3 linked regions of the Schizosaccharomyces pombe genome follow. The gene in region 2 interacts genetically with the main gene of each other region. Each region holds a gene or a part of one and is shown on either strand. Other genes may lie near its edges. The genes, in order: nnr2, mug124 and ubp2.

Evidence for each region.
Region 1: mutations in mug124 (region 2) and nnr2 together harm fitness less than expected from each alone (positive genetic interaction), as found in Schizosaccharomyces pombe (one large-scale study listed by BioGRID).
Region 3: mutations in mug124 (region 2) and ubp2 together harm fitness less than expected from each alone (positive genetic interaction), as found in Schizosaccharomyces pombe (one large-scale study listed by BioGRID).

The regions. Positions count from the first base shown.
Region 1 is NC_003421.2:1,442,543-1,446,299, forward strand, and holds nnr2 (NADHX dehydratase Nnr2), read left to right. Parts: upstream 1-1,946; 5' UTR 1,947-2,110; coding exon 2,111-3,094; 3' UTR 3,095-3,340; downstream 3,341-3,757. Other genes in the region: SAGA complex subunit Spt3, read left to right, coding at 460-1,383.
Region 2 is NC_003423.3:1,685,631-1,689,387, reverse strand, and holds the start of mug124 (protein mug124), read left to right. Parts: upstream 1-2,145; 5' UTR 2,146-2,182; coding exon 2,183-2,620; 3' UTR 2,621-3,757. Other genes in the region: fructose-bisphosphate aldolase Fba1, read right to left, coding at 1-1,021. UniProt on the Schizosaccharomyces pombe protein: Has a role in meiosis.
Region 3 is NC_003424.3:3,485,289-3,489,045, reverse strand, and holds the start of ubp2 (ubiquitin hydrolase Ubp2), read right to left. Parts: upstream 1,853-3,757; 5' UTR 1,722-1,852; coding exon 1-1,721. Other genes in the region: hrb1 (RNA-binding and mRNA export factor), read right to left, coding at 2,544-2,990, 3,072-3,464, 3,563-3,664, 3,704-3,757.

The sequences.
Region 1 (3,757 bases), on a different chromosome or scaffold from region 2:
AAGATGAATGATCTAGCAAAAGAGAGTTTCAGACCAAAGAAAGTTGATGCTTTTCACTTTATAGATTACTCAAGTATCTACTTTAAACGGAAGTAAACAAGTTACGAAGGTAAAAAATTTCAAACATTTACAATCTTAAATTAATAAACCTATGCTTCAAAAAAAGACAGGAGTTACTCTTCTAATAACACTTCTTCACTAACTAGTTGTACTGGATGTTCTGTAACGAAAGAATGGACTGGGTTTGCAGTTTGGATAGTGTATCCAGCTCTCATAAAATTTGTTTGCTTTTTGCAAGCTAAACGTTTGACAATGGTTTTTCTTTTTCAACTTAAAGCACTTTATGCCCCATCAATTAGTCCTTCTTACTGGAAACTATATTTTTCTTGTCAGTTTGGAGTTCAGCAACTTGTCAACTACCCACCACTTTGGGAAGTGGTTAAAAATAAGCAATGCGGAATGACTGAGACTGGCAGAACCAGTAAATATCGTGTTGAAATTCAACAAATGATGTTCATTCTAGGGGAGGTGCAGGATCCTCTCCCAGAAACCACACAATTAGTCGAAGAGCTAATACGTGGACAAGTGATGGAGATGTTAATTCAGGCAAATGAGCTAGCTTTACGACGTGGCTCAAGATCTATTACTGTGGAAGATTTATTTTTCTTAATTCGCCATGATCGTGCAAAGGTGAATCGACTAAAGACATACCTGTCATGGAAGGAAGTGCGCAAGAAAGCGAAGGAGCAGGATGCCAATCCTGCCGATACAAAAGATCTTTTTGAGGAAGTAGATTCAAAAACAAGGTCAATGAATGCAGTTGCTATGCCTTGGGAAGTAAAAAATATGTTTACAGAGCCTGTACCGGAAACAGAAGAGTTTGAAGAAGATAACGATACGATGGAAATGGCATATGCGACGCGACAACGTCTTAAAATGGCAGATGAACGCACGAAGAAAATGACGCGTGAGGAGTATGTTCATTGGAGTGAATGTCGACAAGCCAGTTTTACTTATCGAAAAGGCAAGCGATTTCGTGAATGGTGTGGCATGTCTATTCTAACAGATACTCGCCCTGATAATGATATTGTAGATATACTTGGCTTCTTGACCTTTGAGATTGTGGCTACCTTAACTGAGGAAGCACTGGCTGTGAAAGATCGAATGGATCGGATTCAAAATAGCTCGGGTAGTGGAGGCTCTCATGCAGCGCATCATCCGAAAAATTGCAGTTTATTTGATGGACTTACTGAGGGGAGAACTCCCCTTCAAGTTTCTCATGTTTTAGAAGCTTTTCGTCGTTTGCAAATCCCCGATAAAACTCATACTGCTATGCGCAGTTTTCATGGGGGTTTGGTCAAATCTCGTGTGTATCTTATCTAATCATTTTCACTGTCTCTTCTTTTTTTTTAATTGCTGTAAGGCTTCCATTTACATCTAAATGCCCTGTTTTCCTGTAATTACCCATACTAGGTACGTATATGTTATTATCCCCATTACTGGTTCTCCTTGAAACAATATGGTTTAGATCTTACGAAAGCCCCTTTACTTTATGGAGATATTAACTACTCAATATATTTCATCACATTAGACTGTTGTCTTGCATCTCCGATTGAATTCATAATTTTATTTCTATCTTTCCACTAAGCGATATTCTTAATTGCAGCAGTGGTAGTATTTGGACTTTTGGATTTTTTAATATCAAATTTTTCTTATTATACTGGAATCTCATGATATCTGTGAATATTTGCAAATCTTCTTACCAAACTTCGTTTACTCTATACAAACTGCTGATTTTCGTAATGAACAAGGGGATCATCCTTTTGATATCGTCAGTGCGAAATTTTTAAAAAACAAAGGGTTTCTTTACGTTTTTTTTTTGTTTTCGAGAACATTTGAACTTCATCACTGAGCGTCATTTTGATCATACCTTCCACCTTAACATCATACATACGCCAACTCCAAGAATAACCGAACATTCGTATTCCGAAGCACTCACAGTACTTAAGAGATACAAAATTCAGGAATTTTAAAGACTTTTTGATTTATTATAATTGTAATTCTTTATAATTTTTTGCTATCCGAAGAATTCGCTCAACAAGATTACAACATGACATCTGGATCTCCCAAAATTACAAATTTGCTGACTCGTGTGAAGCGCATCATTCCACCACTTCTTGATACCTTCCACAAAGGTCAAGCCGGTCGAGTTGGTGTTTTTGGGGGTTGTCAGCACTACACAGGTGCTCCGTACTATTCTTCGATGTCGTCGATGCTCTTCGGCAGTGACCAAAGCCACATATTTTGTGAAAAAGAAGCTGCAAATGTCATTAAAAGCTATTCTCCTGATCTGATTGTTCATCCATTTTTACGTGAAAAGGACAAAGCTGGACCAGAAGATAGTGTCGATAAATGCTTTGAACTTATAAAGCCCATGATGGGAAGATTGCATGCCATCGTAATTGGGCCTGGATTGGGACGTGATGAATGGATGCAAGAGATTATGGCCAAAGTAATTGAGTATGCGCGCAAAAATGATATGCCTATGGTTATCGATGCTGATGGCTTGTGGTTAATTCAACAACGTCCCGAATTGGTTTCGGGTTATCATAATGTAATTTTAACACCTAACGTTATTGAGTTCAAAAGACTTTGCGACAAGCTTGACATTAAGAGTGACGGACCCGATGCTTGCAATCAGCTAGCTGGCAAACTAAATTTGCTCATCATTCAAAAAGGCCAATCCGATATTATTTCCGATGGCGCTACTGCATATGCTTGCTCCGTTCCTGGTGGTCTTAAACGTTGTGGTGGTCAGGGTGACATTTTAACTGGTATACTTGCTACATTCCTTGCTTGGAGACATGCTTATCTTAGCAAAGAATGGGATACAGAAGGTAATATGGATGCTAAAGAATGTCTCTTCCTTGCCGCATTTGGAGCCTCTGCCTGTACTCGCTGGTGCAGTCGTTTGGCGTTTAAGGAATGTGGTCGTGCAACTCAATCAACTGACCTGGTCAGACATGTGGGTAAAGCGTATAATGCGTTAATGGAGGATGAGATACCGTCTGTCGAGGAAAAAATAAAAGATTAAAAAAAAATAATATTTAAAAACCAAGAAGATAAAGGACCCTTAAACTAATAATTGACTTTTTTGCTTGTTTGTTCCCTGGAATTGACATTATTACCATGTTTTCAAGTCTTGGTTCAAATTCCCAAGCAAAGGGATACCTTAAACTTAGTTACTAGGAATGACTGAAACGAAAATACCAGATTATTAATGAAATAGCGTATTTAATTTTAAAAACCATGTTCAAAATAAACATTGCATAGTCGTTGGTATCATTGTTGTTGAGGAAATTTGATGTAGCTGTCACCGTTTTTATTTATTGTAACAGACAAGGGCAAGCAGACTCTTCTTTTTGATTCGTAATTGTCATTATTTACATTATCAAATTTAACGGAAATTAGTATTGTTCCTAAGTTTTACTATAAGACGATGTATCTATGAGCACGACAATAGCTTCGGAAACCAATTCAAACCTTCATATAATAGTTAAATTCTAATATTCTACGATTTAGATATCTAGATTATTAATCAATTCCTATCTTGACCTCAACGTTGTATTTTCATTCTACTGTTTTTCTTCTTGGAAAGTCATAATTGACAATATGGAATATTGAAATGCGTTATCAATTAAAAATGTTACTATTTAATTTGAAAAAAAGAAATGTGAGATAAAAAGAAAGAACATGG
Region 2 (3,757 bases):
TGGTCTTCTCACCCTCATGGATCCAGACACGAGGGTCGAACTTCTTCTTGTTGGGCTTGTCAGCTCCCTCGGGGTTACCGACGGGGGTCATAAGGTAGTCCTTGTACTTCAAGACATAGTCACGGACACCCTCGACGTAGGCGAATTGGGTATCAGTGTCAATGTTGACCTTGACGACACCGCACTTGATACCAGTACGGAACTCGTTGACAGAGGAACCGGAACCACCGTGGAAGACGAAGAAAACGGGCTTGTCGTTGGTGGTCTTGAGTTGCTCCTTAACATAGGCTTGGTGTTGACCCAAAAGAGCGGGTTGGAGCTTGACGTTACCGGGCTTGTAGACACCGTGGACGTTACCGAAAGCGGCGGCAATGGAGAAGTAAGGGGTAACGGAGGAGAGCTCACGGTAGACATCCCAGATGTCCTCGGGTTGAGTGTAGAGCTCGGTGTGGGAGACGTGAGAGTTGTCGACACCGTCTTCCTCACCACCAGTGATACCGATCTCCATCTCGATCCAGATCTTCATGGGAACGGCACGCTTGCAGTACTCCTTAACTTGAGCAATGTTCTCCTTCTTGGGCTCCTCGGACAAGTCAAGCATGTGAGAAGAGAAAAGAGGCTCACCGTGAATCTTGAAGTAGGCCTCATCGGCTTCGAACATACCGTCCATCCAGGGGAGAAGCTTCTTGGCGCAGTGGTCAGAGTGCATGACGACGGGGACACCGAAGAAAGGAGCGATGGAACGGATGTAGTGGGCAGCGGCGATGGAACCGGCAATGGAGGCCTTTTGGCCCTCGTTGGAGGATTCCTTACCAGCAAAGAAGTGAGCACCACCGTTGGAGGTTTGCAAGATGATGGGGGAACGAGCCTCACGAGCAGCCTCAAGAGCAGCAATAGCAGTGGAGGAGGAGGTGACGTTAATGGCAGGGATGGCGAATCCGTGCTCACGAGCGTAGGTGAACAACTTTAAAACGTTGTCACCTGTAATAACACCAGTAGGTACAATATCGAGAATTCCCATTTTGCTAATTTGTGTGTGTGTTCTATACGACCTTTGGAAGTATGATACTGCAACAGTAGCGCGCAACCCTCTATTATATACCATGGAGCCGGAGTTGGCCTCGGAAAAACTTCTCACCTGATGTGCATATCGATACCTATCCGGTCCGTGGTTACCACCAATCACCGTCCCCTGTTTTAGGGGTTGACGTCAAAAGAAGTTTTTGATTTCTTCCATTTACCATCCCCAATCCCCCCGATAGCGCTCTGCATCGAAGTACGCAATTCCGTTCAAGAACCGTAACACGTTGCGTGGTGTGTGTCAAGGCAAAAGGAAGCGGCGGCGGCGGTAACCAACTCGTTCACCCGATGCACAAACACAAACAAAAGAAACATTACCAACGTAAACATAAATACAAACCTAAGCATTAAACATTTATAAATACAAACATCTAACCTGCCCTATACTATTCATATGTCTATTTCATTTCTATTCATTTCTTTTCATTAATTTCATTTCATCTCCTCTTGTCTTGTCTCGTCTCGTCTCGCTTCTCCATTCTCCCAGCCATCCCTACTTCCCAGTTTGAGTGATGGATTTTTCTACTCAACCAACTTGAACCAGCCAACTAAACTAATGCATTTCTTTTGTTATCACAGTCTGGCCGTCTCGGTTCGGTTCGATGGTGTTGTGCCCACACACCCCATCTGCATCTTCGGTAGTATTCTTATTTTATAGTTGTCGCCTGGGTCAAATGATCAAGAAATGCAAGGCAATTCTTCTTCCAAGCATGCTTGAATTAGCTTTACCATCAATGTAAGAATAGACACTTTGCACCGCATTTCATCACTGTCTTTACACAAGCAGGTATGTGAAATGAAAAGTATTTTTGGACATATACAAAGTGCACAACTAAGTAGCTCTCTCACGTATTGATGATTTTCCATGCGTCCGACCGGCATTCGTTTACGGGAGTATGAATTTCGTAAGTGGTTTGATTGATTGAATGCTTTATCATTTTTTGGTTATCTAGTACCACTTGTGTTTCGCTTGGCCACGAGTAATATTAGTCCAGCAATGAGGTGAGAGAAGAGATCATCGTTTGTGTACATAACAAGAGGAAGAAACATTGATAAAAAGGAATTGAGAGAGTGGAAGAGGATGAGACTTGACTAGAAGAGTATGAGACTGCAGTCACTGTCAAGTGTTGCTATTGCTGAGACTAGGAGACAAATCATTCTTACTATTATTAACTCTCTTGTTTACTTGGTAAATTTCATTTCATGTCCATCCATTCATTCCATTCCATTCCACATCTCCACCCATCTCACATCATGTCAAGCTAATATTTCTCTGCTCAAAATCGTTGGTCTGCATTGTCCATTCCATCGTCGTGGCATTGCATCTCTGAGTGTATGTGTGGCATTGCATTGGATTGCGTTTTCATGCTCGGTCATGTGTCACTTTGCTTGGAGTTGCGCTTTGCCTTGTTTTGTCGATTCATTTTTTCCATCCAATTTCTTCCTTCGTACATACGCTTTGTTTACGTTTTCGCTGCAGCTCTGGTCAGGTAACGATTTGCAAGGCAACCATTCCTATTTAGCAACCCCGACACGATGACCGATATACCTCGTTACCTAGATGGGCTCGGTTGATGTCAGCGGCACTTGAACCCTTCGCTACGGATAACAATTGGATTACCGCAGGGAAATGGTTGGAACGGATAAACTCTTGTTGTTAGAGATAAGCAAAATCTTGACGAATATTGTTCCTCGCCTCTTTGGCAACGCAACGCATCGATATAACGATGTAGGGCAATGCACTGTAAGCGGGCTATGTGAGGTTAACGTGGGCTTGTGAAATGAAAGGGAGAGCAGAGGGAAATGGAGAGAGAGAGAGAAAGAGTAAGACTGCAGACGCTGGATAAGTAGCATAACGCAGTGTAACTTGTAACATCGTAACACATCGAGGATAACATATAGACAAAGCGTCGTCGTAACGAATATATAGAGAGAGTTAAAAGACTAGGGTATAATATGTTTACTTGCACGCTCTACTAAATAATAGGTATAGCACGTATATCCAAGTTGTAACTACAGCTATGTACAAGTACATCTCATAGCACAATATACACATATATAAACACATTATGTGGTACAGCCTGTAGACTTTTTATATTTGATAGCATGGTTTGTCGAGTTGTAGGTTTTATTTATTTATTTATTTTTTTAAGTAGACAGCATAGTTTGTGTAATTGATTTTCCATCCATTAAGTTTATTATCCTACTTTTTCGTTTGCACAGAATCTCATTCACTAATACACTCATACATACACACACTTTTTCTTACCCAATCCTTTCTATTTCATTCCTTTACTCCTAGCATTCTTTATAGAAATACATATTCCACTTCATTCACCTATTCATCCATTCATCATTCATCTATCCACTCTATCTTTCTCATTCCTTTCCATTCCTTTACTATATATGCACTACAACTTCATATTCTTATTCCCTAAACAAAACCATAGTGTTCTTCCTTTGCCTCTCTATTCTTTTCCGCTCTTGTTAGCTCTTCACTCAAGCTGACATCCCTCTTCCAGCCCTCCGTCTAACCTTTTTTTCTCCCTGCAAATTAACCTTTTTGTTTCACCATCTCACCATCTTCATCTCGCCTAAAAGGTCTCGCATTCGGTTTCGCCCAAACATAACTTACCGGAACATGCCACCTGCCATCGCTACTCTTCCTGTGGTGTAC
Region 3 (3,757 bases), on a different chromosome or scaffold from region 2:
TCTGATTGCTCTGGGTGGTCTTCAACAGCAAAGCCGTATACATTGATTAAAACGTCATCTGATAGTGCACGATCTTGAACACCTAATGTGTTGTAAGCTAGATCTTCATCCATAGGCACTTCTTTAGGCTTCTTGTTGGAAGGTCTACCTTGTGAAGCCAAGAAATCGTACAAAATGGAGCTATTTCTCTCTTCAGCTATCCATTTGACGGCCTCGATGGCTTTGTCGCTATCATCTTCAAATTTCACTAAGGCCACAGAAGCTACCATGGCGTCCTCGGTGTTAGACTTAATGCCCAACCATTGGTAGGCTTCATTAACCGTATAAAAAGCCTGTTCTGTAGACAAAACATAATTTAAAATTTCAGAACTCTTTCTTGCATAGCCAATAGTCTCCAAATCGTTCCTAATAGCTCTGGCAAATTCAGGTTTTCTTAGGAGGGCAGAATGAAACGCCTCAAAGATTTTTTCTTGACTATACCTGTAATCCGGGCCTACCTCAGCTTCAAGTCCTAAACTCGAATAAGCGGCTTGTATTACATCGCTCGACACGATTCCATTTTTCCTATCTGCCGCAATTAGATCTCTCAAAAAGCTGCTTTTACGTAAATTGTATATATGAGCAAGCGCATCCGCATAAACACGAACATTAGCTTCATCGTTCTTTTTTTGTTCCTCATAGAAATAACGGACAAAGCTGTCTGGATAATCATTCGTGATACCCAAGGCTATAAAAGCAGGATCATCAGGTAAGGAGGCCGAATTGTCGCGAAAAACTGTGGTATACATGGGAACCACGCTATCATAGTTAGGAACGCCAAAGGCATTAATTAAAGCAGGTCGAGCCAACCTAACGGGAAAAGGGTTAGCAACAATAGCCGGATCTTCTTTAGTGTCACGAAAGTGATTAGCCAAAACAATAAGTTCATTCCTAGCAAGGTATAGATTAAGTTTTTGTTCGTCAGTAAGGGGAGCGTCCGCAATGGTAGGGACATAATTTACATTTTCGTGGTGATATTCAAACAGAAGAGATTTCATCAAAGATTGAATTTGGCGGCCCTTTCCGACATGTCTCTCAAAAGTTCCTTCCGGGGCAGCGCTAATGGCACGTTGATCGTTATGGACCAACACGTTTCGTAAAAACAACTCCAAAGAAGTAAATGTAGTAAAAAGAGAAGGTTGGGATGAATGGGATGACCCTTGATGAGATGACGATTTTTTAGTTAAAAGGGAAGCAAATGATGGACGTCGGGAATCAATTATCTCTTTGATACAATTAGCATCAAGATAGCTATCTCTCCATTCAACTTCAATTTCACTTTTTGTTGTTTTGCTACTCCATTTCATACAAGTAGAGGTAGTAGCGAATTCACTTTTCGTAGGGCTAGTCACATGAGGTTCAGGTAATTCCTCTTCTTCGTAGTAAACAGGAATCCTATCTTTTATTCCATAATTTTCTTCAGGCTCTTCAATTAATGGCTTCCCCCTGTCTCTTCGGACTTTCACATGTAAGTGTTTGCGAGTTTTTTGACAAACACACCAAAAGTCATTCTCGTCAAATACAGCGGACTCGCCTAAATTTGAATGAAGCTGCCAGTGATATCTTGAGCTATGAGGACTCCAAGGATCATTCCATCCAGCTGATGGACTATCAAAGACGTCTAAATCTTGAATCAACCGATTAGGACTTTTGCCAATTCGCAAGTTCTTTACAGTTGCCATTCCTCTTTATAGTTTGATGTAAATAATTTTAATAAAGAAATTTAAATTTTTTATTATGAAAAATACTTGAAAAAACGTCCAAACGGAAAGAACGTACAGATTGAAGGATTTTTCATGAGTAAAGGACTCGGTAGGTAGACTTCATGCGTATGATGCTTGTCGTCTTACATATGCCAGCCAGGTATGCGACCATCAATTTTATGAATGTGGGGAATAAGATAGAAGTAAATGTTTGTATTTCATTGATAAGGCTACTAAAGAAGGTAAGAAACAATCAACACCTACATTTCGCTATACGAAATTTACCATTATGCTTAAATAAGATTTTTAACCTAAATACACCTTACTTTAAAAATAATGTAGTTAATCAATAAAGATTAAACTTGGTTAACTGGAAGTTAACAGAATGGAAGTCTAAAAATCTAAAATATCATTAAAACCATGAAATGGTTAGCAATTGTAAAAGAAGGAAACTAGGCATCCTGTAAAAAAACAGTAAAGCTAAAATTAAAAAGACTTCAATTAGAAGAACGAGAGACGAATATATATGCCATCAGCATACTTTGGTGTGTCACGGAAAAGAATAAGATCTTAGCAAAAAATTGAAATCAAACAAAAGAGATAAATCTATAAACATGGAAAATAAGAATATTTGGGGATTAGGAATTAAAGCAAAAATTTGAAGAAAAAATAGAGAAAAGCAAACAATATTAGGATAACTGCCTTAGAACATTGCGCATGTCGTCACTGAGCTAGCCATTCACACTACGGAAATGTGCTTAATTGTAAAGAGAAAAGAAGTTCAGATGTATTGGCGAATTTTTAAGAAGGCTCCAAAGAATGTTCAATATTATTTTCGGGTAAAGCTACAGAAATAGGAGCAATAGCGGGCATGTTTGCAACGGGCATTGAAATCGGTAGATAGCCTAAGAAAGAATTTGTAAAAGATTGGGGCGTTAGTGGTGAATTCGTTGTAGGGATATGCATAACAGGTGGTGTATAAGCGACTGAAGGAAGACCCGAGAGCACAGTAGGGACAGCAGGTAGTGGAGTCGCATAGTGAGCGTATGATAATTGCAAGGGTCTCCCGCCATAACGATAACCATTTAATTTTTCAATTGAGGATGCTGCATCATTTTCATTCTCAAATTGAACGACACCGAAACCTTTAGATCGGCCAGTGGGCTCATAGGCGATTCGGGCACGAATGACTGAGCCAATATCTGTGAATAGGTCCAATAAATTGCGATCTGAGGTGGCCCAAGGTAACTATATTCAGTCAGTAATCTCCAAAAAAAACTTAAAATGATGCGGAAAACTAATCCCACAAAAGCGTCCTTATATACATACATTTCCAACGTAAATGCAATCCGAGCAGGGTCCATGGGGATACGCATGATAAACTAAATCCTCGACTTGAGTATTAGCACCTAACATGGGTAGATAGGTGGATGATGTAGTCATTTGCATTTCCGCTGGAAACGTATAGCCATTTCCATGAGTGGAATACGGCTTACTTTTATGATGTGCAAACCGATCTAGGCGAACTTCTAAAGTGCGGCCCATGAAATCAGTGTTATGCAACATTTGAATGGCATGCATGGCTTCTTTCATCGAACTCATGACAACAATCCCAATGCCACGGGATCGGCCTTCTTGGTTCATTTGGATATCAGCTCGGATAACAGAACCAGCTTGTCTAAACAAATCCTTTAAATCTTGCCAGCGAACGTTATACGGTAACTATACTCGTTAGTACCATTTCTTATTTGCAATTCCACAATTCATTAAAATACCAAAGTTCGAGGAAAAGAATATAGAGGATTAGAAATTGAACTTACGTTACCAACAAACAATTGCCTGTCTGGCTCAGAATCTTTGCCATTCGACGACGCGCTAGGCGATACTGAAGAGGAGCCAAATCTTGCATTTTGTTCTCGATCCTTTACGAAGGTTAATAAGCGACATAAAAAAAATCTTACTTCACGGATATAAACAAGACGGCCCATAAATTTTTGGTTGCTCAGAGTTTTAAT